Linked DNA regions of Xenopus tropicalis. The protein of the gene in region 1 purifies or fractionates together with the protein of each later gene. This does not show direct contact. Links are inferred from orthologs where the notes say so. Each region holds a gene or a part of one and is shown in the gene's direction. Other genes may lie near its edges.

Region 1 (4,154 bases):
TATGGCCAGCTAGTGGGGGATCTTTTTGCCCATAGAAAAGAACACATCAGAGATTCCCCCTTCAGACTAGAGGAGCAGAATTTCATTTGAAGCAGCGCAGGGGGAGCTTCACTGTGAGGGCAGTGAGGTTGGGGAATGCCCTTCCTAGTGATGTGGACCACAGAGACCTTAACCGCACACCCTAACACTCCAAAAAAATTTGTCCGGTGCACACTGCTGGAGGGATCGGCACCCTCCAAAAACACTGTAGCAACAAAAAAAGCGAATGGCACTCAGGACTACAAACAAGGGTTTCAAAACTTTCAAAAGTTTATTGCGGAGGTGCAAAAAAATTGCACCTCCGCAATAAACTTTTAAAAGGGTTTTACCCTTGTTTGTAGTCCTGAGTGCCATTCGTTTTTTCTTCCTAGTGATGTGGTAATGGCAGATTCTGTTTAATGCCTATAAGAGGGGCCTGGATGAGTTCTTGAAGAAGCAGAATATCCAAGGCTATTGGTATCATTAAGAGCTACAGTTAATTAGTATATTCCCATATAGATTGTAAGCTCTACGGGGCAGGGACCTCCTTCCTCTTGTGTCCTCGACTCTTAACTTATTGCAGCTGTATTTATCTGTGTTTATTGCTATACTTTGTATTTATCTATTATTATCTTATTAACCCCCTGTTTGTTATACTTTGTATTTATCTATTATTATCTTATTAACCCCCTGTCTGTATTAATGAATTCTACTGTACAGCGCTGCATACATAAGTAGTGCTTTATAAATAAAGATATACATACATTAGTATAGGTACTATAAGGGAGCGTATATATAGCACCATTTATGTGTGTGATACATGATGTGCACATTGGTTCATTTGGAAGCGCAGAACTTGATAGGCTTCTGTCTCTCTATGGAACAGAATATAAATAGAGCATTTCTATCCCAATCCAGACAAAAGCATGTAAGTACAGTGCTCCATACAAAAGCCTAGCTGGAGCAAGGGAAACATGGTAACCCAGTCACTACCCCAAGCTGCTTTGGTAGCTGGCTCACTGTAAAAGGTGAGCAAATAATTCACTCATGTTTCACATAATCTGGCATTGGTAACCTGCTCTAAATACAGTGGATATACTGGCTGCCTCACAGAAGGGATGCTGTTCTCTCTAAGCTGTTTGCCACTAGTTCTCCGCTACGTACAGTCAATAGTCACTAAGTAACACACTGAAACTTCTCACTCACTAGTACTATGTTAAAATTCATTATAAATGAAGGTAATCGTCTTGTTGACCTAAACGACTTACTTCACGTACAAGGTACGCATTTATACGTGACGCGCTCAAACTACTAGAATCCGACCGAACTTGCGCACCGGAAGTACGGACACGGAAGTACGGCTGGGTCCTGCAGCGCACTACACCCGGAAGTGATTATTGTTGCAGCCGGAGCAAACGAAGCGCTGTACACCCGGAAGTTCTGCTGAGCAAGATCCTGCGAGGAGCTGCCGGGAGCTGCCACGTCTGAGAATAGGGGAGAGTTACTTTGTAGCTAAGGAACCTCACTCGGTCTAGGAAAATGGTGAGTAGCGCCTGGTAGGCAGGAGTTTGTGCTGCTCTGGGGGACTGCCTACTGTCATAGTGTTCAGTGTGTGCCAGCACCCAGGGCTGTCCTCCTACATCGTCATTTAGGTTCTCAGTATAGTAGGTAGGGTGTCAGGGCGTAAAAGTGGTGCTTGGGTGTGGCAGAGAGGGCATGTATGCAATCTATATGCATCGAGTATGTCCAACCTCCACCTGTTCCACCCACAGCCAGAGCAGAGGGTTGTAGTTCTACAATACTTATAGGGCTGTAAATTGGACACCAACAGGAGCCAGGGCCTTTCTGCAAAGTTCTGTTTCATACACCCTTCTTTTAGATTGTAAGCTCTACTGAGCAGGGTCCTCTGTACCCTTTGTATGCTCCTTTCTATTATACAGTGCTGCACAATATGGTACAGGTATCTGCTGGTAGCAATCTCAGGGGGCCTCTCTTCTCCATCCGCAGCCTTGATGTGCCTGGATAAGGGATCAAAGTAATGAGGGGCCACATTGCCTGAAGTAACATTCAACCCTGATTGTTTTGGCTTTGTATAACAAGGCTGTGTGTTATAGGAAGGGCATGTGTATAGTAGGGGGCACATTCATTAAAGGAACAGTAACTCCAAAAAATGAAAGAGCTTTAAAGTAATAAAAATATAATGCACTGGTAAAACTGGGGTGTTTGCTACAGTAACACTACTATAATTTATATAATAAGCTGCTGTGTAGCCATGGGGGCAGCCATTCAAGCTGGAAAAAAGGAGAAAAGGCACAGGTTACATAGCAGATAACCGATAAGTTCTGTAGAATACAATAGTGTTTTATCTGTTATCTGCTATGTGCCTGTGCCTTTTCTCCTTTGAATGGCTGCCTCCATGGCTACATAGCAGCTTATTTAGATAAATTATAGTAGACTTTCTGAAGTAAACACACAACTTTTACCAGTGAAGGGCAGCAGCACATTACATTTTAGTTACTTTTATATACTTTCATTTTTTGGTGTTACTGTTCCTTTAAAGTATGACAGGTCTGATTACAAAAAAATGTTATTTTTTCTAAAGTTTACAACTTTTGCGTATTTTCTGCGATATTTTCATTTATTTGAGCGACTTTTTCATACTTTGCAACAATTTCTGTGACAAAATCGTATTTGTCGCAACGAGTACAAAAGTTTTGGATTCATTCAAGCTTCGGTATCATGACTTTCCTTTTGCCAGGTTGGAGCTGCAGAGTGCCATTGAGCCCTATGGGAGACTTTCCTTGGGCCGGGTTGGAGCTGCAGAGTGCCATTGAGCCCTATGGGAGACTTTCCTTGGGCCGGGTTGGAGCTGCAGAGTGCCATTGAGCCCTATGGGAGACTTTCCTTGGGCCGGGTTGGAGCTGCAGAGTGCCATTGAGCCCTATGGGAGACGTTCCTTGGGCCGGGTTGGAGCTGCAGAGTGCCATTGAGCCCTATGGGAGAATTTCCTTGGGCCGGGTTGGAGCTGCAGAGTGCCATTGAGCCCTATGGGAGAATTTCCTTGGGCCAGGTTGGAGCTGCAGAGTGCCATTGAGCCCTATGGGAGACTTTCCTTGGGCCGGGTTGGAGCTGCAGAGTGGCATTGAGCCCTATGGGAGACTTTCCTTGGGCCGGGTTGGAGCTGCAGAGTGCCATTGAGCCCTATGGGAGACTTTCCTTGGGCCGGGTTGGAGCTGCAGAGTGCCATTGAGCCCTATGGGAGACTTTCCTTGGGCCGGGTTGGAGCTGCAGAGTGCCATTGAGCCCTATGGGAGACTTTCCTTGGGCCAGGTTGGAGCTGCAGAGTGCCATTGAGTCCTATGGGAGGCTTCCAAAATCATGCACAGAAGGTTCAAAGTCAGAAAGGTTTTCGCGCCATTTACGTAACTTTCGGATCATACCACAATATTTTCGTACAAGCACAACGTGATTTTTCACAAAATTAACGCACATTAGAAATTTTTGTATTTAATGCAAATTTTCGCAAATCGTACTTGTAATTCGTACTTTAATGAATTTGGCCCTTGGTATGCACCAAATTCATAGTGTTTCCATGCAGCTAGATTGCTAACCAGGATTGTGCAGGGGAGGCCTTGTATCTGCGGCTGCTCAGCACAGTCATCGGTAGACTTTGTCCTTCAGTGAGTAGAGCCAGTTTGTGCAATATGATAAGCTCAAAAGAGTATCCATTAAAGAGAAGGAAAGTTGTAATCACGTACCTGAAACCCTGAGCCGGCGCTTCTTTTAGCAGAAAACTGCACAAAACCGAGGGTCTTCTATAGAGCACCACATCACAATCTTTTTTTCATATCAGGCACATGGGCTGTAGAGTGAACTTTAAGCAAAAAGCCAGCTTTTTCACTCTGCAGCACATGTGCTGGTCTGGGGAGTGGAAGGAGTGGAAGTAGTTTACATATGGTGCTTCTACAGAAGTACCCCAGGTTGATGCAGTTTTCACCAAACAGGAGCACTGGTTTATAATTACTTGGGGTGCCTAACATTGTTGATAGTAACACAGAAATTGTCTCTGTATAACTGTAAGTGACCAAATAGGCAGGTTCGAACTGGGGTGTACGGGCGTCCCCCACATAGGCCCC
Region 2 (3,500 bases), on another chromosome or scaffold:
CCCTGGGAAAAGTTGAGAATAATATATATTATATTATATTAGATCCGGCACTCAAGCCAATCGGTCACAATAGCCTGGGTGCAGGTCCAGGTGAAGAATTAGATACAGCAGCAAAGAGATCCGCACTCACAGGACTTATAGAATTAATATGGAGTTTATGGTGTAGTCTTCTACACCATATTAATTCTATAAGTCCTGTGAGTTCGGATCTCTTCGCTGCTATCTGTATCATCATCTATAGGATATATCTATCCTATTAGGAAGTTATTCGGGAAGTTGGTCAGGCTTTTCCCATGGAAACCGAGTTTTAAAATGTCTTAATGTAAATGAAAAGAAAATGGAATCATTTGCAAATAGTATGAAGCCAGCAGATCAATTGAATGGAACATGTGAGAACAATAGCAGAGCCTGCTGGAATCTTTGAGGAAAGGACTGTTAGGAAGTAAATGATAGATCTTTAAGGGAGGGGCAGTTATGCTACAGATGTTGCCTTTCGTGTATTTGGACCCAGCTTGGCAGTCGTATAGTTAAATGAAAGTAACTTTTGTCTCTCTCTTCCCCTTCCAGACCCTGTTTGGTAACAAACCTGCTGGTTTCGGGACGACCACGACCAGTGCCCCTGCATTTGGCACTACGACTGGCGGGCTCTTTGGTAACAAACCAACCCTGACTTTAGGAACCAATACAAACACTTCCAATTTTGGTACATATGAGAAAACAAACCTGATGTAATCTCTAACATTACACTGGGTATACCACCTGTCCCGCTGCGCCAGACTAAACGCAGATGGATATCGGGCAGCGCTAGGACTGCACAGACTAACTGCTTAACTAGCAGGAGAATCTCTGTAATCTCCGCCTAATCTCCTATTAGTGCCAAGTGGAATGCTATTGCACCTACTGTCAGTATAATAGGCTATTGCCTTACCTGGCATAATGCATGTCCCTCGCCGTGCCCAGAGCTTTCATCATTCCGTGCAATGGAACAGCTTGGAGTTTGCCAACATAAGCGCTAGTTATTGCCCCAATGTGTGGCGTTCATGCACGGTAATGTTCGGCTTACCCACAATCCTCTGATTTTCTCTGCTGCAGTTCACAGGTTATTGGTGCCTGGCATGGCCACGTGTGCACTATCACTACTAACCTAGTGAAGCCTCCTAGTGTGGTATACACAGTGTATCCGAGCACTTCACCTCTCGCACTCTAAGAGGGAGTTTTATAGCCTTTTCTCTTCTAAATAAACTCGGCAATACAATTATATAGGGTTACATTTCCATTTCTCATTTTGGTATAACTGAACTGTAATTGTCTTTACCTGCATTCTTTTCTTTTACCTGCTTTACTTTCTCCCTAACTCTCTGCCTGAATTTAGGTTTAATGTTTGCATGATCAATGTCTGTTAACTAATTTTGCATTGGGCACCGTGAGTTTGTGTTGCCCTCCAGCGGGAAAGGGGGTCGGAAATTACACAAAAATAAGAATATATGAATGCATTTTGCCTCTAAGAAGGCAATAGCTGATGGAGGCTTCAGGGTATTCTGCCATTGCCCGCTAAGGCTCAGATCTTAGTATCCCACAGAAGTGCCCTGGGGTTCTGGTGATATTGCTCACAATGAGGCTTCTACCCTTAATTGCCACCATTGGGTCCTAGCAGAGGTATTTCAAGCCTGGGTCTGTTCAACAGAGTTAATAATGCAAGCACAACTGCAAGGGGTTAATATGCAGTGAACTTAATGATTGGCCGATGTCCAGTACCCTAAAAGGGTCACTTTTTATCCTGGGGGGGGGCTCTCCCACAGCACTTGGCTTTGCTGATGAAGCTTCAATGTGTTTTTCATCAAAACTCCCCATAATAGGTCATTCCTCTGCCCCATTACCCCCATAGGTCATTCCGCTGCCCCATAATTTTACCCCTGCAGTTATATTGGGAAAAGTGATAGACATTTTAAAACCAGTGCCCTAATCATTGGGCGCTCTGCTGCAAACTCTGCTCCAATCCCTATGCTTGTTGGGCTGATAATTGATCATGTGTAATATATATCCTGTGCTGGTTGTTATGACTATGCCAATGAAAAGGTTTGTCCAGTTATCCCATTACGGTTAGAACGAGGGATGCACCAAATCAATTATTTTGGGCTTTGGGTTGGAGAAAAAAGGGTGGATTGTTTCAATGTTTGTGACAAAAATTCACTTTATTTTAAGGGTGTAGACACACACACACACACACAGAGCTACTAGTAGAGCAGCTACTTGTCGTGACTACTAAACTAGACAATGCTGGTCACTAATAATTGTCCCTATGTGTGTTATAGCAGAGGCAATTCTCAATATTGTCTATAGCAGGGGATTTTCTGGAGTGCAGTAGCCTTGGAAAAAATAGCTGCTACTAGTAGCCCAGTGTGCCTTCACCCTAAGGGTTCTGATTGATTTCATGAACTGGATTTGATGTTCCTAGTTAGAGCCTATGAGATGTACATGTTTCATGGCCCTGCTACACAAGTATTGACTGTTCAACTGAAGATTTGATTTTATTAATGCAGAATAGCAAATACTGAAACACTAAAAGCAGGATTAATATTCTCATTGGGGGCAAAAGTCCGATTTCTCTGTAGAACCTCACCCAGATATGATTCCTTTCTCTCAATTCCAGTAAGTACGTGCAGGGCCCAGAGCGTAACCTTGTCTGGCTTTAGTGCTCCGCTAGGGGAAATGCACTTGTAACTGGCACTAAATGGCTTTGGGATCTGCTGAAATTGGGATATTTATGGGTTTTCCTCTCTACTCTTGGTGATTCACAAATGCCATTTTAGAACTGTAAATGTTTAAAGGAGCTGACCCGTCTATATTTGTCCTAAAGGGTTTGGTTCAAACACAGCAGGAACCAGCCTGTTTGGCAATAAGACAGCAACGGGAACCATCGGGCCGAGCCTTGGGACGGGCTTTGGAACAGGTAAAATTGAAAAATGTTTCTAATATAGTTAGTTAGCAAAAAATCTAGATGGGCAGATGTCTAACATAATGGCCAGAACTGACTAGGGGGCACCACATGGGACAATTCCCATAGAAGGCAATGGGAACAGCTTTGTGTCTGTTGGCACAACATGATTGTGCTGCTTATAAATGTGCTTTTGCCACGGCTTTTCTTGCCAATAGTTGGGTGCATATAGGAAAACTGCAATGTGTGGTTCAAGGAGAGGAATAATTAATTCTTGACTTTTTGTAGCGCTAAACCCCGGGCAGACATCTTTGTTTGGGAGCAACCAGCCGAAGCTGACTGGTACACTTGGTACGGGAGCGTTCGGCAATGCCGGGTTTAACAGTACCTCAGCAGGCCTGGGATTTGGAGCGCCTCAGGCCCCAGTCGGTGAGTGCTGTCTTTTTATAGGAGAAAACTAACCTTTTGAGCACCAGGGCTAATTTACTGTTATCTTTAATTTGCTGTTTTACTTTGCCTTGAACTCTTCTTATTACTTGTGTCTCACAGCAGCCCTGTCTGATCC
Region 3 (4,147 bases), on another chromosome or scaffold:
CTGCTCCCACGTAGCAGGCAAGCAAGCAATAACTGTTCTCACCAGGGGACACACACTGATTCCACAGAGGACTTTGTAATCACTGGCAACCCTGCAGACTCTTCTCTTTTCAATCTGAACTAACAACAAGTGGTACTGGCTGCTCACTCTGTATCTCTCTTCCCAAAAAAACCAGCAAAACAACAGGGGCTCCCTTTATCAACTGCTGGACCCGCCCCTTGATTTTTGGCTCCAAACTTAAGCACACCTCCTCCCAGACTGCACTGGGACATCCAGCCAATCGAGTTCTCTGATCCCCTACACATGAATGCTACAGGTACTGCTTTTGCCAACTCCTGGTCTGGGATCTCTTACCCCCTGCCCCTGATGCTCCACCCCCACAAAGTCTGCACACCTTGCGCGCAGCACTTCCCCCCCTTCACAATGTCCACGTGCATTCATTCACAGATGGGGTTGCAGCGGGGGTGAGGTGGTCGGCCAGGTTGCCTAAAGGTGGCAATACAATTATGCAATTATGCTATTTCCTGCGACCACTTTCATTCAAAGCTGAATTGTCAGATATGGAGGTATCCAATCTACCGATTCAGCCTTTAACGTAGATTTTGCAGCCTTTGGGTTATTAGTTTATAAGGTTATTAGTCTCATCAATCGCCAGCTTAAAGCTTGGCCTGCCTCTAAGTCTTCTACTAAATCAGCCCTTAGTTTGCACAAAACCACCAGAACCCTCAAAGTACAAAAAAACCCCTAAAAACATGACCTCATTTCACTTGGCCCTAGTTTTCACAATAACTCTTCCCTTTTTGGTCAGACTGGGAGAAAAGGTTCTGACGGCAGCCGGTACCGTTAGCAACCAGGAAACTCTTTTTTAGCTCCCTGGCAATGACAAGGATCTCTGAGCAGAAAAGATAATTGACTTGGAGGAAATATTGAGATTCGAGGTGGAGGAGAGCAATCACCTCCTAAGAAGAGTCTTTTTTTTCCCTTTTTGTTCTCCAACAAAAGTAGGAAGTGCGAGCAGAACAAATCCAAGCTACTTATTAGCAGCTACCAATTGTGTAACGCCGCCTTACTGGGTAGCGCACTGTCTCTGCTCGTCACTCCCATAAGGCGGCTACGTGATGCGTCACGACGCTTGCGTGTAGTTGTACGTCACAGTCTCGCGTGAGGAGACATGTGGAGTCGGGATTTTCTGTAAGACAGGAGGCTAGGAGCTTGCAATTAACAGCTTTACGGGAGGAGTAAGTAGCAAAGGTGTAAGTAGCAATCTGCGGCTGCTGGCTGTGTTACGAAAATCGGGATCGACAAGCGGGACTGTTGGGTAGTATTCAGTTAGGGGTTAGTCAGGGTCCCTGCTGTCAGTACGCTGCACACTTTGAATGGGAGGGCGGGAGCTTACGGTACCTACATGTTCTCTCTCTGCAGCTTTCGGTACTTCTGGCTTATTCACAGAAGTTTTAGTCCCGTTCTATTGAGTAGACTGAAGGACTGTTCTCCCTCTAGCCTGTATGTATCGGTCTGCTAGACTTTTCTGTTACATGTTTGCAACCTTGTGTGCATCATAGCGGGACTTTCTCACAGAATACACATCGAACATAGGAAGGACTGACCCCGTGTTGTGCTCTCTTGCAGCAGGACCAGCATGGATATGCTTTCGCCGGTAGTGCGGGAGGCAGAGGTTTCTAGAGCAGCTCGCCGCCAAAGCTCCAACAGGAGGAATCCTGGTATCCTTTTGTAATGTGAACTATCATCACAAATCACTGGTGTCCCCAATAATATCAAACGGGAAGGCTTTTGATCAAACAAAAATGACATTGGAAGTTAACAGAAATTTTTGGTTGTCATTTATCTATTACTATAATTTCTTTGTGATTAGTGTTTATGTTTTGCATGTCATTTTTTTCTAAAATCAATGGAAGGGCCCCTCCTTTATTGAGTCCCCTTTGTTTTAAATGGTTAAGGCTTCATTTTTAAATCTGTGTTGATTAAATGTGATAGTATATTTAAGTTTGCAGTGTCTGAGTATTACTCTAATTAAGGAAATAACCCATCGTAGGAGTAGGTTGGGTGGGTTTTTATTAATATTAACAGGCTGTTTATGGACCACAGATGTTTGATAGCAGTACCTGCACCAAAAACACAGTAATAGGCCTTTTATTGTCTTTGATGGGTTAATTTAATAAATGCGTCTTGTCTTGTAATCCATAGGAGCCAATCAGCATGTAGCACTTACTGCTATGGGTTAATATGTGTGACCAAACTTAAGCCTTTATTACATTATCCTACATGTCTCTAAAGCAAATAACATGGTTAACCCTGTCTCTTAGGCATTCCCCGTCATGACTCCCTGACTTTTTGCCTTACATGAATGCAACAGAACCAGTATTGCACTTTTTTGTTCTTTTTTTGTTCTGAGGCTATGCATGGGCAATGCAATTACAGTGTAATAAGAAACGCAAACAACAATAATGATTAGTTACTTTAAGCTGGAAAGTCGGCTAATATTTTCCCGGTGCTTGCTTGTTTCCCTGGTACTGTTTAGAGAGGAAATATTGAACTGATTCCAGAAAAAGCTTTTGTTGCCACACTTAACGTCTTGCCTAGCTGATGAGAGCTGGAGCAATGCAACACCAGCAAGAGGCCCATTATCTCGCACAACAGGACAAACACTATTTCGACAGCACAGTAAGATGTTTATATATAAACTGGGTCTGCAGTTGATAATCATGGGCTTGTTTGATTCATCTTGTAGAAACTGTCCCACTGACTTGTGTTTTACAAATATCAGCATTCAGTCATGGTTATTATAAAATTCAGATGAGTTTGTATAGTAACCTGCTTGTGTAGACATTTTGGTTAAGGGCATTCTTGCTGTTTTGCCATTTCTTGATGATGATATTCCTATTCCTGTCTTGTGCTTCCTGTTAAGCTGAGAGCAGGCCAAATCTACCTGCCATGTTCTAATAAATATACCAAAAGTTCCAGTGTGTATCTGACTACTTTACCTGAACTAACACAGCCGCAGTATTAACCCACTGCTAGCCAGCAGTTTATTACAGTGGGGGCGAGGATGAGATTTATAATGCTGAGAGAGGGTCTCTCGAACTACAGCTCTGACAAAATCCTTAAGCCATATCTTGAAAAGAGAGATGAGCTTTCCATAGATCAAGGTTGTTTACTGTGGGGGATACGGGTTGTCATTCCCCCTAAAATATCGTCAGAGGCTCTTGCATGAACTTCACGAAGGCCATCCAGGTGTAAACAGGATGAAAGCACAAGCTTGTGGTTACCTGTGGTGGCCAGGCCTGGATCAAGATATAGAATTTTTTGTAAGTCAGTGTACTGCTTGTGCTTCTGTAACACGAGCTCGTGCTTTCATCCTGTTTACACCTGGATGGCCTTCGTGAAGTTCATGCAAGAGCCTCTGACGATATTTTGGGGGAATGACAACCCGTATCCCCCACAGTAAACAACCCTTATCTATGGAAAGCTCATCTCTCTTTTCAAAATATGGCTTAAGGATTTTGTCAGAGCTGCAGTTTATTACAGTTTGGATATAAGAAAAAAGTAATACTGAACATAGTATTTATGCTGTGAAAGTCTTTTTTTTTTTTTTTTGCTTTCTGGTATGTAAATGTACTTTTCACCTTTACCTAGTGACGCCACAAACCTGGAATTCTTCAAGGCCACCAGATGTTTCGGCAATACTGGGCACTGTAGGGCGATCACCTCGCTTGGTACAGACTCCTGGGCGTTTGGCAAACATGTCTATGGTAAGACAATCCATTCTACAGAAGGCATTAAGGCGGCACAACACAGGCAGATTTCAGCTGCCGATTCAGGTCCTTAAGGCCTTAGGGGCAGCTTATCTGCCCGTGTATGGGAACCCCCGACAAGCCTAGCCAACTGACATCTGGCCTAAAATTGTGCAGATTCCGACAGGTTTGATTTTTCCATTGGATGAACAAGCCGATGCGGTCCTCGGTCCGACGGCACTGTCTAATTGGCCCAATATTGCCCACCTAAGGTGGGTAATTGGAAGAAGATCCGCTCTTTTGGTGACCTTGCCAAACCAGTGAATCTTACAGTGTATGGCCACCTTTAGTCTTCAGTTTCTCTTTCATGTGATTTATCCTATACGTATTTTGTG
Region 4 (2,197 bases), on another chromosome or scaffold:
ATTTCCTATCTGATCCCCCATGTTTCTCTATGAGGGGGCGGCCATATTTGTGCAGCAGGGGTCTGTTAGCATTAGAAGCTGTAACTGACAGGCTGAGAAGGGACAGTCAGGTTGGCAAAACAGTCAGGTTTGGGAACTTGAAGTAACAATTACTCACACAGGCAGCCCTATCAGTGAAAATTGATCAACATGACTTATAGGTAACTTTTTATGTAGATTCATATTTTAAAAAGTAGTTTTTTCATGTCAGTATCACTTTAAGGCATCAAACTAGATGTTAATGACAAGGTAAACTGAGTTTTAAAAACATATTGATCTAAATTGCATAGTGGAGCATCATTACATGTTTGTCTTTACTTCCCATGCATTTTCAAGCCACAGGTAGAATTTTCAGGAAAATGTAACTGAACTTGATTAGGTTGATTAAAGTTCTGGGTTTGGTGTTTACAAAGATGATAACACAAGTTTATGGAGAAATTTAAATAACTGAGCTGGTTTCTATGCAAGTCTTTACATAAACTCCATGAAGTTAAATATAATTCTTTTTCAGGATTATTAGTAATCTTGTAATTTGTTAAACTACCCCCACCCTTATCTAAGAGTGATTGGCCAACCTTGGTAATTCTCAGGTCTAAATTTCAGTAGACAGCATTATTATTATGACTATGGGAATTATTATTATGATTATAATACTCAGACTTTCGCACAGAATCCTATGTGAACCAAGTTGCAATTTGCCTTTAGAATAGCCACTCCTGTTGTGATTTATTTCCAATACATTTTACATTTTCTTAATTGTAGATTTTCTGCATGAGAGTGTAAATGCTTTTTTAGGCTTCAGAGCCTTTATAACCGTTATATATATGAATTAGAAAATCAGACATGCAATGTAACATGTACTGTAACAATTTTTCTCTTTAGCCGATTCTTATTGGGACTGCCCCTGTGGGATCTGGACTAAGCTGGCACAGAAGACTCCCTCTTTGTGTTGTGGGGGGATACCGCAAGCTATTCTTCTGGCTCACAGAAATGTAAAAAAAAAAAAATAACCTTTACTGTAACGGTTTCTAAAATGTTTTTTTGTAAATGTAACTTCTTGGACAGGGCATGATTATGTTCATCTACAATCTGTCTTATTTAATGTTTTGGTCTTCAAAACAAAGGATATGAATGGACCTAAATAACCAACACCACTCGTTCAGAACACTGATATAATTGTCGCTTTAATTTATGAGCAAAGTTGTAGGTCATGAGGCACCTTCTGTACCCATAACTAATTTCTTAGGCCCCTTAAGACACTTACATGGAGCCAAGACAAACTACTCCATAAGTCCAAGGTGATTAAAGTTGCCTTTACATATTACATTTTTGTTCAAATGAAAAATTGCATACTGACTTTCCAGGAAGAACATTTTTCATAAAGTGCTGCAAATAGACTAAATCTATATGCTGAAGATCAGTGACAGCAAGTTTTATAGCTGCACAGGGAGGACATTGATAGGGGAACATAATGCTGAAAAAGTACACACGGCTTTAGTACTGAGAATATCTTGCCAAAGCCCTGAATGAAAAACATTACTGTCGACTACCAACATCAGTAGCTGTTAAAGAACAATGGCTTTTTCTGTTAATATGTACATATGTGCATATACAACATATTTTTTGGTCTTTATAGGCTTATAAACTTAATTTTTATATAAAAACTTGTTTATTTTTTATATTGTATTTTTTATACACTTGAAACTGGTTCCTTTCATTGCATGGCTACATTTCTAACTGTTTAATCATAATGTACAAGTATCTTGTTTTCTGTGTCTTATCCTGACAATCTCCCCCAAATTGAATGTTAAGATCTAGTTCACATTACAATTCTTCTTGGATTGTGTAGAACAAAGTTGAATATTTTGACGTCAAAGTGGGTTCAAATTTTGTGATCTGTCACTCTGCCCAAACAAAATCATACTGCTATTTTTGCCGACGCCAAAATGTCTGCTCATTAGGTAAGCCTGAGTCAACAGTGGGTTTATTATGTGTAGGCCCATCAGGAGCTGTGCTTCTGGCAGGAACTGTTAGGACATGCCCACTCCTCATTTAAAACACAGACAGAGACCCTAGCAGATCTATAGGGTGCTCCGGTAAAAGGGTCATATTGTGACCAGCAGGATATATGGTTCCTTATACTGTATTTTGTGTGGCC
Region 5 (4,289 bases), on another chromosome or scaffold:
TGGTGATAGGTTCAGTTGCCAAGGAAAGTAAAAGCTGTGTTCGGGCCCCAAGTGCCACCCTGAGGCTAATGCAAAGAGCGCAATAGCATAAAAAGTAAATATTGCTTACATAAACAAACTGGACCAGCTAAATTTTTTAGAACCAAATGTAAATATGCTCACTTAAGGGATTCAAACAGCACATTTTTTTTACTATATGTAGAAAGTTTATTTCTGTCAGGTGAAGTTTGTATTATTTTTTATTTTTGTGGGGAGGGCCAGACCATTTGGCAGTGTATACAAGAATTTTAGGAAAGTATATACTGTACATGGCAGTTTAGGGAGAGCCCATTACATAGCTAAAGCATTGGAAAAATGCTACCTTTTCATCTCTGCTAGCTACAGTGCTGTATTTAGGTTTGGTGCCTGTTGGGTTCACAGTGGAGTTGTGCAGGATAAGTAGAAAGTCAAGCTGGATAACACATGTAGCTGAGCTAACATTTAGGCATGCAGCTCCCTCTAGTGGTACACAACAATGCCACTCTAGACACCAGACCTAACTATACCCCCTACTTTGCAGATGTGACATCATTGTGCCCGTGATGTCACATACCCCTACGTTGTGAAAGTGACTTCACATGCTGCATGTGCGTGGTGACAATTCTGCAGTGCAACCCAACCCCCTACCATGCACCCCCAGCTCCATTACCAGATTTACTAAGGACTCTGGCACACGGGGAGATTAGTCGCCTGCGACAAAACTCCCTGTTCGCGGGAGTGCCATCCCGCCGGCGACTTACAAGTTCGCCGGTGGGATGGCGGGTCATGGCAACTCGGGGAGATTAGTCCCCCGCGAACAGGGAGTTTTTGTTGCGGGCGACTAATCTCCCTGTGTGCCAGAGCCCTAAGGCTGGGGGCATATATATATTTTTAAATTGTAAATGTAATATATAGGTGCATATTTGTAAAAACTGTATAACTTTGCCCTTCTCACCACATCCCTGCCCAATTTGCCTATTTATGTTATGATCACGTCTCCTTGTCCCACCTGCCCCTTATGTCACCGGCTCGCCTCTTCACTATGTGGCCAATATGTTTCTGTACAAAATGTGGCAACTTTAGGTACAGCCCAATGTGCTTTCCTCCTATAATTTATAAGGTGCATGATATACAGTAAAACCCCCATTTTACATTTCTCAGGAGACCAGAAAGAAATGATGTAAAATTCCAGGAAAATGTAAAAGCAAAGAAATGTATTATGCATTAAAAGTCGGTGGGTCCACCTAAACAGTGTAAAATGTGGGAAAACCCAAAATAAGGTTATTTAAAATTAAGGTTTCACTGTAACACAAACATAAGTCCCTCTTAATTAAATTATTAGGCCACAAGCAGGACTTCTATATGTTAACCGTTTGGTCTTGTATTCCTTTACGCTGTAAAACCCAGTATGAAAGGATAACGCTATATAATTAATAACAAAGTATGTTTAGCGCAAGCCATAGTCACTGAACTGTACTGTGGCAACGAATGCGTTAATAAACGCATTTCATTTTATTTCCTTACTCCGATCACTGGTCACCTCAGCGATTACTCTGTAGAAAGTATGGCGGGGAAATTATAGCCAATGAAAGTACAGTTTGGGTTGTTGAGAATTGCCAATCAGAACGCTTGTGGCAGACAAGGCGCCGTCTGGCGGCTTTTTTTCAGGCTCTGCCTCTTTTTTTCAACATAGCCCTGTAATCTGGACGTGTTCGTCATTAAGGGGGTAGTGGTGGCATAGCCAACCTCAAAATTAAGGGTGTCATGGACGATAAATTCGCTGCAAAATTTGTCTCTCACAAAATTAGCAGAACTCGCTGGCGCCCAGTGTCGGCCTCGTCGCTGCAGCAACCGGATGTGTTTGCTACGGGTTCCTGGGATAATGAGGTATGGTTGTGGCACGGGGAAATGTGTTTAACCAACATTCGGAGTAAACTAAAAATCACAATGATACGGCTGTAGGTGATCTATAATACCCTGAATCCCCTGCTGTCAAACTCTTACAGTTATTTAAACTACGGAAGAGCAGCATTTCCCAAGTATTACATGGTTAATTTAGATCATTGTAATAATTGTGCAGCCATGTGTTTGTACTCATTGACGTATTACCCTCTACAAGAAGCTTACAGTTTCCTGTAACACAAGAGCCCTGGGTACACTTAATGGGGGTTGGTAAATCTAGTCATTTTCCTAGCACAATTTTAATTATTATTGACACAGCACACCACAAAGTGCCAGAGTGTGATGTAGTTCCACTGATGGCTACAAATGTCAAATAGCACTGCCTTAGAATCCGAATCACGAATGGGAAAAAATCGTATTGGAAACGAAAATTTCGTAAGATCGCAAATATCACGTAAATGCTTATGACAAAATCGTATTAGTCACGATAATATCGGATTGGCGACCCGAAAGTCATGAAATTTTCATACCGAACAATTGTAAACAGCGGTAAAACCTTTCCGATTTTTTCGTGCAAACGTCTGAAAAAGTTGAGCGTCGTATGAAAAAGTCGTGCGGACGCCCGAAAAAATCTGCGAAAATACGCTCGGAGCGTTCACATGAACGCTCGTGCATTCGTGCTTTTGTAAATGTGCCCCTTAGTGTTAAGGCATATCAAAGTTTGATATATTTAGTGAAAGTTTTGCATACAGTTTTATGACATGTCAATACACTACATATACTGATTTTTTTTTTTTAATGCTCAAGGAAAACAAGGTATGTGTGTGGGCCACTTCAGACTTTGGGGCCATAAGTCTAGAAGAAGAATACCAAGGAGATCCTAAACAACTGTGTGACATCAGACACATTGGCGATGTTATGGACATGCAGGTACCTTAACAAAGGAACTTTTTATTTACACTACATAATTACATTCTGTTGTTTCCTCTACATAAGGATATTCTTATCTCACTAGCCAAGGGACCAATTGCCCCCATACTATATAAAAAATAGCCATAAAAGAAATGAAACTGTATGAAATCCCGGCCCTTGAAGAAATAGGCTATTCAACTACAATTTATTCAAATTCACTTTTCCTTAATAAGTTCACATAATAATTTTATTTATTGTATTGTCATAGTTGGTGCCTATTAATAAGTGGTGGAAAATGAGAGGGCCCTTTTGTGTTTGAACTTTTCACAAATCTTAAGACATCAGGCAAACTAATTATAATGGTATGCTAGTTTGGGTCAAGTCATAATAGTGAATTATTTGACTTCATTAGATATTGATTGGAGTAAAGGTCCCCATACACCTTCAGATTCCCTCGCTTGGCGATGTCGCCAAGCGAGCTGATCTTCTCCCGATATCCCCCACCTATTGATGGGCGATATCTGGAGAATCCAGGCTGATTTGATCTAATTATAACGACGGTATAGGCAAAGTTGGTTCAGGGTCCGCATCAACAAGCCGATGGGGTCCCCGATCCGACTAGGTTTTTTTAACCTGCCCGATCGAGATATTGGTTGGGCAGGCCCATCAGTAGTGCCCATACACTGGCGATTAGCTGCTGAATCGGTCTAACGGACTGATATCGGCAGCTAGAATCGGCCTGTGTATGGAGACCTTAATATTAGTGTCAGAACAGTTAATTTAACAAGTTTACAAACTTACTAAATAACAATTTTATGTCACAGATTGTTCAGGGCCCCTAAAGGAATTATGCTATACTTGACCTAGTGATAAAACAAATGCACTAGAAGCCCAGGGTAATGGTGACCATAATGTTATCTAAATGAATATATGAGTGTTAAGCTGCATGATATGTGGGAGTAAGTAAGTTAATAGGAATGAAGAGGAAGGCTTTTAAAAACTACAAGTGAGGGGACAGATGATTCTTGTAAAGAATGTTAATACCACAAGTGTTGTAAAGCAGCAATAGGGAAGGCAAAGGTGAAATACTTTTGGAGATTAGTCTTTGCCTGTGCAGCAATAATCTCCTCATTTTCAAAGTATCTAAGTTATAAAAAGATGTAGGTGTGGACTGTGGAAATGGAGGTGATTTGGGTATAAAAGACCATAGAAAGCAAATGTGCTTAAGGATTTCTTTTCTACAGTGTATACAGTAGAGAAGTTGGGGTTGCAAGAACCACTAGGCAAGGACACAGATGACTCAGCTCTATCAAGTCAATTGATGACTCAGGACATGGTACTGAGTCACAGTATGTACTGCCTGCCCTATGTTGCCTTTGTGTATGGCACAGGCAGCATAGGGCAGGCAGAGTATGGCACCCACAGGCAGCATAGGGCAGGCAGAGTATGGCACCCAC
Region 6 (3,500 bases), about 120 Mb from region 1:
AGCAGATTATATTACCGAAGACATGGCATATCAGATGGAGAGTGCGTGCTGCCACCCACAGTCACCAGAGAGAGTTGCAGAGCAGATTTTGGAAGATTTGATAGCCAATGACATGTAAGGAAATAAGAATTGTTATCTGTGCCAGTCGCACATCATCTGTAAAGCCCTGCTTGCTACAGTGTTTTATGGTAGAGCAGCAGTAAGCAGGATATTCCTTGTAGGTTACTATTTCAGCACCAATTTAAAAAAAGCACAACCAAACTGTCCTGATTTAGAAAAAGTGTAACGTGTAAAATTTGATTTAAATTGCTTTATTAGGTAAAATACAGACTGTAAAATATCTGTTTGTTTTTTTATGAACACTAGAGACAACATCATGGAAAATATTCAGAATAAACTGCAGGACATCAGGAATCCAATACAAGCTATTAGTTTCTTGCTTCAAAATATGGATTATGAAACCAACATGGACATGGAACAGTGTAAGTCTGGGTTTCTGCAAAGTTTTGTGTGTTTATAAAAGACTGCATTTTAATGGTGTATTTAATGGGTCTGTTTCAGCGCAACATAATGTGAGACTGAATCTTTCTACTCTTTATGGGAGTGTTACTGCTTCCAGTGTGGTATGTCAAGCCATTTACAAAATCTCTGCCACAAGATTCTTAATATGTCGGGACTTGCTTATTCTTCAGCACCTCTTGCTGAGGCTAGGGGACATGGTGAGTACAATTCCACAGCCATTTAAAAAAACTTAATTGTAAAAACAAAATAGCTTTCTCTTTTTTTATGGTTATATTCTAGATACAGCACTCTGTAAAGTGGCCCACGTCCTCCCGCCAATCTATGCCCCTTTAATACAGGACAGAACCTAATTTCCCATATCACTACTTACTGCCATTGCTTCCTACAGCCAAGTCTACAAGGACTCCTAAGTCCTTCTCCATAATGGATTTGTCTAGTGCAGTCCCATTAAGGGTATAAGAGGCTGCATATTTTTAAATTCCAAATGCATAACCTAACATTTAGCAACATTGAATCTCAGCTGCCACTTAGCCAGATTGCTAGTTGATTTAAGAACTCTAAGAACCCTACTTCAAGAATGTTTCAATGACAACCACTCCCTGTACACAATTCTTTTTCCTGTCTATGTACAAACAACATTACCAAGACCAACAGTTCCCCTGAAACAATGTCACACATATGCACAATGAGCAAGCTGAAACACTCCTCATTATTTGCATGCTTTGAGTCCCAAGATGGCTGCCCCAGCTGGGACCTCTCTCTCTCTGTGAGTGGCATAGCACTCACTACAAGCATTTTTTGCCTAAAATAGTTTCCTCTAGTATGAGTGCAGGGTCCATTAGCCCTCACCTCTGGTGAAAGAAACTTTTTCTTTGAAATATTCTCCTGTACATAAACTATACATAAACTATATTGAAAACCTGTCAGTCATTGGCAATACGTACAAATATTTTAGTTTGTCGTGGATTGGGACAATCCCATTGAAAAGGGGTGTTACATAACCGATCCTTTTTTTTTTTATCTTTTGTTAGGCACTGGTTGGAGCAGGGCAGCTTCTTCATTCTCAGCAGGAACTTATCCCTCGCGCCGCTCAACTGCTTTTGTCCTATTACATGATCCGCTGGGGGAGCCAGTGTTTGGCCTGTGCTGTCCCAGTAGATTTATTGTAAGTTTTTTTTTTGTTTTTTGGGTTTTTTTCCAAGATAAAAATGACAATAATACAGTTTATATAATTTTAGTATTGTGTTTAATCACATCAATTGTTTTCCACTGAGTCATGACAATATATGCAAATCGGATCTATTTGTTGATTCTAAAATAAACACAGAGCGCTATTTGCCTTCCTTATAGAGAGTCCAACCTGCAGCACCTCTCAGTTTTGGAGCTTTCTGATTCTCAAGTAGAGAAGCGCAGATACAGTAAGTATTGATTTCTTGAACTTTTTTATCTTAAAGGAGTCTTTATCTTAAAGTTTTCAGCGCTCTTCATGCATTACAGTTTAATTTTTTTCCCCATTAGCCAGTGGAATCCAGACCATTGTGGAATTGTTTTTTGAAGATGTAGGAAGAAAACATTTCCCTCAAGTTTTTGCCCACCTTTTCATTCAATCTGGTTCAAGTCAGGTGCACAGATCTTTAAACTGGGCCGATCTTATACATCGCATTACCAGCTACCTCCTACAACTTCTGTATCCTTGCCTGTGTGCCATCTGCACTCATTTTACTGTAAAAACAGTAGTTTTACCTTTAGATTGTGTTGGGAGTATGAGGTAGACAGATATTCATAGTGTCATATTATTTTTTGTGGTTATTGAATTATTTACATTTTTTTCCCAGCAGCTCTCCAGTTAGTATGGTCCAGTTTGCCCTCACAACAAGGCAGCAGTTGACATTAGGGGGGCAACAGGGGGCTAGTTCACGTTCCTGGACTGTTGGGGAGTGGACTGTAGTTAGTCCTCAAACTATTGCGTTGGGCGGTGAGACGTGGTGACGTGTGGCAGACAGGTAGTAGCCAGAGGCGAGGACACAGCGGGGGCCGGGTAAATGACCTTGGGGAGCTGTATACGGCCAATGGGCTGTAGTTTGAGGACCCCTGCATTAGAGGATCTTACCGAGCCAATCTTAGGTCCATCCGCAGAGCACTGTGGTGTGGGCGTAACACTTCACATAAGACTTGTGCCCAGGGGCAGGGTGCAAGGTACTAAAAACATGCAGTTTTGTGCTCGTACTTTGCACCCTGTCCTGCTCTTAGTAAGTGAGTCTTCCAATTTTAAGTGTAAGTTTAAATTGTAACCAAAATACCATGCACACAGTGGTTTTATTAGCAATTGATACATAATAAAGTGGAAACTTGCAGGCAGATGTTTATAGCTGTCAGTCATAGCTTTCCATTCAAATAAATGAAGGTTAGAAACAATGTTTTGCTCTGGGCTAAAGGGTAATGTTATTGGACAGTTGTGACCTCACTTTCTGGTTAACTCTGATAGGGTATCTCTCTTGACTGTTCTTTTATTGGCTTTGGTCCTGTTCCTTAACCCCAGCCACATACCAGATGGCCCAGTAACCCTAACTTCCAGTTTGCAGAATGCCTGATGAGAAACTGCCAATACACACAGCTCCAGGTAAAGATGTAGTTTATTCTCCTACACATGACTTTATAAAGTCAATTAAATTATCCTGCAATTTGTTCATTTTTTTTTTCTTGCCCTTTCATCTAGGAATATGTCCGGCTGCTTTTACCATGGTGCCAAGTTAATGTTGGTTCCTGCCATTTCATGTTGGCCCAGTGTTACTTGGTTGCTGGAGAAGGACACAAGGTGAAACTCTGCTAATAACATTCTTATGACAACTCTATTTGTGCATCATACCTATTGGGGTCCAGCTCCATGTGATACAGAGCATAGTATTCCTATTTTCCAGTAGGTGTTAATTTCTCCTTATTATCCACAGGCTTTAGATTGTTTCAGTCAAGCAGCCTCC
Region 7 (3,500 bases), on another chromosome or scaffold:
TCCTTTCACTTCCCTGGTTCTTCAGCAAAGTCACAGGGTAAACCCCCATATAATAATAGTATATATAATAATAATAATAACTCCTCCTTATCCGTAGGCCTGAGACATAAGCCGAGTAGGGGGACCAGGGGTGGTGATAAGGGTAAAAAAGCGGCACAGTGATCCGTCGGTGCTTTACTTCTTCCTACAATGATAGACTGATCCTGATCCCCGTGTATCTTTAATGATTTTTTTAGAGTGGTAGAAGTTGGTTTCCCCTGAAATTTGGCTGGTTGATGGGAAAAGGCAAGAACGAAGCGCACTTACCTGATGACAGGAATAAATCTGTAAGGACCTTTGTTGTTTAGTAGCTCCGCGCTCACTCTGTATCCCCTATCAGCTGCTCTCGGCCTCTCCGGTGGTGCCCTGCTTGGATACCTACCCCACTACTTACCTGTAAAAGCTTATATTGCCCCCCTGCCTTCTGTCCCTTGCTTTGCTTCACCCGGCCAATCACAGTGCAGTACGTTTTATTATAAGGAATTACCCAGAGTGCTCAGCGTCTCCCTTTCTTTTGTTGCAGATTGTGTGGGATGAGAAGAAGCAGAAGTGGGTGAACATGGATGAACCAGAGGAAGAGGTGAGCCGGTGAATATTGGGGTGGGGGTACCCTATAAATATACCCGGGGGTACAGGTAACATAACATCCCAACTCTCTTTCAGAGCAAACCATTGCCTCCGCCGCCACCAGGGATGCTTAAAAAGCCTCAGAGCACCCCAGCTGTCCCAGGGGGTCCCCCCAATCCTTCCGTCAATGTATTCTCCATCAGAGCAGGTAATATAGCTCAGGTGCTAGTACGGTCAGGGCTGCCATTGCTGGGGGGTACTGCTTTCAGGGGCCCCAAGGCAAAAAAAACCCCCAAAAAAACCAAACAGGTTTTCAGGCCAATAAAGGGGGTGGGGCTTGTAAAGGAGTGGGTGGGGTTTGGATGGGTGGGGTGGGTTTATTTATGAATGGGGTTTGGTTTTTCATGAAAGGGGCTTTGTAACAAGCCCCACCAATCTGGGGGTCCATCTGACCAGTGGGCATATAATTGATATAATTGGGCCCCCATGGTGCCTACTCTATTGCTTTGGGAGAAAGGATAGAACCTGATTTAATACCTTTTTTTCTGAAGTTGACCTGGGTTAAAGTTGTTTAACTTTTAGTATGATGTAGAGAGCACTATTCTGAGACAATTTGCGATTGGTCTTCATTTTTTGTTATTTGTCATTTTTGAATTATTTCAGTTTTTGTTCAGAAAATTTCTCATTTTAGCAGTTGTCTGCTTGCTAGGGTTCAAGTTACCTTAGCAACCAGGGAGTGGTTTGAATGAGAGGCTGGTATATGAATAAGGGAGGGGCTGAATAGAAAGATAAGGAATAAAAAGTAACAATAAAACTGGAGCCTCACAGAGCAATAGGGTTTGGCTGCTGGGGTCAGTTATCCTGTTGCTAGGGCTCAAATTACCTTAGCAACCAGGGAGTGGTTTGAATGAGAGACAGGTATATGAATAAGGGAGGGGCTGAATAGAAAGATAAGGAATAAAAAGTAACAATAACAATAAAACTGGAGCCTCACAGAGCAATAGGTTTTGGCTGCCGGGGTCAGTTATCCTGTTGCTAGGGCTCAAATTACCTTAGCAACCAGGGAGTGGTTTGAATGAGAGACTGGTGTATGAATAAGGGAGGGGCTGAATAGAAAGATAAGGAATAAAAAGTAACAATAACAATAAAACTGGAGCCTCACAGAGCAATAGGTTTTGGCTGCCGGGGTCAGTTATCCTGTTGCTAGGGCTCAAATTACCTTAGCAACCAGGGAGTGGTTTGAATGAGAGACTGGTATATGAATAGGAGAGGGGCTGAATAGAAAGATAAGGAATAAAAAGTTACAATAACAATAAAACTGGAGCCTCACAGAGCAATAGGGTTTGGCTGCCGGGGTCAGTGACCCCCATTTGAAAGCTGCAAAGAGAAAAAGAAGGTAAATAATAGAAAAACTATAAAAAATAAATAATGAAGGCCAATTGAAAAGTTGCTTAGAATTGGCCTTTCTATAATATTTTACCTTTAGGTTAACTTTTAATCTGTTATAGAATGGCCTATTCTTAGCAACATTTCAGTTGGTCCTCATTTTATTTATTTTTTTCTATAGTTTTTGAACTATTTGCCTTTCTCTTCTGCCTCTTTCCAGCTTTCAAATGGGGGTCACTGACCCCGGCAGCCAAATCACTATCGCTGTGTGAGGCTCCAGTTTTATTGTTACTTTTTATTACTTATTTGTCTATCTAGACCCTCCCCTATTCAAATGTGTCTCCTTTTCCAATCACTGCCTAGTTGCTAGGTTAAACTGCACCCTAGCAACCAGATATCGCCTGAAATTCCAAACTGGAGAGCTGCTGAACAAAAAGCTTAATAGTTCAAAAACCACAAATAATAAAAAAAATCAAGACCAATTGCAATAGCATTTTCTACATCTAAAGGTAGAGAAATGGCTTTAAAGGGTAAATCAGCCCTCCCTCCTGTTTTTTTATGATATTGGCAATTTTTTCACTTCGAATAACGTTTTTTTTTTCTCTTTCCAGCGGGGGCAAGAGGTCGTTATGTCGATGTGTTAAACCCGGGGGGTCCCCGGCCTACCAACTCTGTCCCTCCGCCTGCGGACTTGTTTGCACCTTTGGCCCCCATGCCCATCCCCACAAACCTCTTTGTCCCAAACGCAGGTAGGAATCTGAGTTCCCATACCATAGAGTGTGGGGTAGATAGTATCCCTGGCTTGGGGGTATCTGGATAACACGACTGCTTTCTATTAATGACAGTGCCGGAGGAAGCCCACCCTGCGGAAGCCAGCGGGGCAGAAATGGTACCAGCAGCCGGCCAGATGGGGCCCATTAACCCTCCCCAGGCGCAGGTACCGCTGCTGCTGCTTTTTAGCTTGTACTACCCCTTTAAGAGATTTAAATGGCGCTTATCCATATATTTTCTGTCTATTTCATAGTTGCCCGGTTTGACCCCTGGGTTGGATCAGGACGAGGGGCAAATGGGAGAGGTAAGAAGCAAAACAATGATACCCAGCTGGTGTCCGTTATCCGAGGAGCCCCATCCCCCCCCCCCCCCCCATTTAACCAGAACATGTAACATTAGAACTTTCATCTCCCTCATCCGGGTCCGGTTACTGTGTGTGAGTGTGCTGTGCTGCCTGCGCTCTAATGCTGGCCGGGCAGAGACCTTCCGTCACTATTTCATTCATTCCCTGCCTATCAGGGAAGTGCAACCTCCCAACTCCCAGCATCCCTTGCCAGCCTTGCTGGGATGTTGCAGTACAACAGCAGCCGCAGGTTGGCACTTTAAGCAGTTATATCGCCCCCCCCTTCATGTTCACCCTTGAGTTAACGTTTAGTATGATGTAGAGAGTAATATTCTGAGACAATTTGCAATTGGTCTTTATTTTTTATTATTTGTAGTTTTTTAATTATTTCGGT

What was found.
Region 2: the proteins of sec13 (region 1) and nup98 purify together in Homo sapiens (affinity purification with mass spectrometry; 4 studies listed by BioGRID and IntAct, counting the BioPlex papers as one, with this or other methods). This does not show direct contact. The link is inferred for Xenopus tropicalis from reciprocal best matches to the Homo sapiens genes SEC13 and NUP98.
Region 3: the proteins of sec13 (region 1) and nup107 purify together in Homo sapiens (affinity purification with mass spectrometry; 8 studies listed by BioGRID and IntAct, counting the BioPlex papers as one, with this or other methods). This does not show direct contact. The link is inferred for Xenopus tropicalis from reciprocal best matches to the Homo sapiens genes SEC13 and NUP107.
Region 4: the proteins of sec13 (region 1) and nup37 purify together in Homo sapiens (affinity purification with mass spectrometry; 5 studies listed by BioGRID and IntAct, counting the BioPlex papers as one, with this or other methods). This does not show direct contact. The link is inferred for Xenopus tropicalis from reciprocal best matches to the Homo sapiens genes SEC13 and NUP37.
Region 5: the proteins of sec13 (region 1) and nup43 purify together in Homo sapiens (affinity purification with mass spectrometry; 3 studies listed by BioGRID and IntAct, counting the BioPlex papers as one, with this or other methods). This does not show direct contact. The link is inferred for Xenopus tropicalis from reciprocal best matches to the Homo sapiens genes SEC13 and NUP43.
Region 6: the proteins of sec13 (region 1) and nup160 purify together in Homo sapiens (affinity purification with mass spectrometry; 4 studies listed by BioGRID and IntAct, counting the BioPlex papers as one, with this or other methods). This does not show direct contact. The link is inferred for Xenopus tropicalis from reciprocal best matches to the Homo sapiens genes SEC13 and NUP160.
Region 7: the proteins of sec13 (region 1) and sec16a purify together in Homo sapiens (co-immunoprecipitation; 4 studies listed by BioGRID and IntAct, counting the BioPlex papers as one, with this or other methods). This does not show direct contact. The link is inferred for Xenopus tropicalis from reciprocal best matches to the Homo sapiens genes SEC13 and SEC16A.

The regions. Positions count from the first base shown.
Region 1 is NC_030680.2:131,808,915-131,813,068, reverse strand, and holds the start of sec13 (protein SEC13 homolog), read left to right. Parts: upstream 1-1,354; 5' UTR 1,355-1,557; coding exon 1,558-1,560; intron 1,561-4,154. UniProt on the Homo sapiens protein: Functions as a component of the nuclear pore complex (NPC) and the COPII coat. At the endoplasmic reticulum, SEC13 is involved in the biogenesis of COPII-coated vesicles.
Region 2 is NC_030678.2:177,452,780-177,456,279, reverse strand, and holds part of nup98 (nuclear pore complex protein Nup98-Nup96), read left to right. Parts: intron 1-567; coding exon 568-652; coding exon of another isoform or gene 653-703; intron 704-2,857; coding exon 2,858-2,950; intron 2,951-3,223; coding exon 3,224-3,364; intron 3,365-3,484; coding exon 3,485-3,500. UniProt on the Homo sapiens protein: Plays a role in the nuclear pore complex (NPC) assembly and/or maintenance. NUP98 and NUP96 are involved in the bidirectional transport across the NPC. May anchor NUP153 and TPR to the NPC.
Region 3 is NC_030679.2:58,822,486-58,826,632, forward strand, and holds the start of nup107 (nuclear pore complex protein Nup107), read left to right. Parts: upstream 1-1,347; 5' UTR 1,348-1,405; coding exon 1,406-1,503; intron 1,504-1,629; coding exon 1,630-1,721; intron 1,722-2,601; coding exon 2,602-2,682; intron 2,683-3,654; coding exon 3,655-3,770; intron 3,771-4,147. UniProt on the Homo sapiens protein: Plays a role in the nuclear pore complex (NPC) assembly and/or maintenance. Required for the assembly of peripheral proteins into the NPC. May anchor NUP62 to the NPC. Involved in nephrogenesis.
Region 4 is NC_030679.2:49,117,406-49,119,602, reverse strand, and holds the end of nup37 (nucleoporin Nup37), read left to right. Parts: intron 1-921; coding exon 922-1,035; 3' UTR 1,036-1,697; downstream 1,698-2,197. UniProt on the Homo sapiens protein: Component of the Nup107-160 subcomplex of the nuclear pore complex (NPC). The Nup107-160 subcomplex is required for the assembly of a functional NPC.
Region 5 is NC_030681.2:58,289,835-58,294,123, reverse strand, and holds the start of nup43 (nucleoporin Nup43), read left to right. Parts: upstream 1-1,489; 5' UTR 1,490-1,782; coding exon 1,783-1,905; intron 1,906-2,727; coding exon 2,728-2,850; intron 2,851-4,289. UniProt on the Homo sapiens protein: Component of the Nup107-160 subcomplex of the nuclear pore complex (NPC). The Nup107-160 subcomplex is required for the assembly of a functional NPC.
Region 6 is NC_030680.2:15,991,165-15,994,664, forward strand, and holds part of nup160 (nuclear pore complex protein Nup160), read left to right. Parts: coding exon 1-114; intron 115-366; coding exon 367-482; intron 483-561; coding exon 562-719; intron 720-1,553; coding exon 1,554-1,687; intron 1,688-1,872; coding exon 1,873-1,940; intron 1,941-2,040; coding exon 2,041-2,209; intron 2,210-3,072; coding exon 3,073-3,142; intron 3,143-3,238; coding exon 3,239-3,337; intron 3,338-3,470; coding exon 3,471-3,500. UniProt on the Homo sapiens protein: Functions as a component of the nuclear pore complex (NPC). Involved in poly(A)+ RNA transport.
Region 7 is NC_030684.2:6,531,904-6,535,403, reverse strand, and holds part of sec16a (protein transport protein Sec16A), read left to right. Parts: intron 1-236; coding exon 237-326; intron 327-562; coding exon 563-619; intron 620-702; coding exon 703-814; intron 815-2,603; coding exon 2,604-2,741; intron 2,742-2,837; coding exon 2,838-2,929; intron 2,930-3,016; coding exon 3,017-3,067; intron 3,068-3,500. UniProt on the Homo sapiens protein: Acts as a molecular scaffold that plays a key role in the organization of the endoplasmic reticulum exit sites (ERES), also known as transitional endoplasmic reticulum (tER).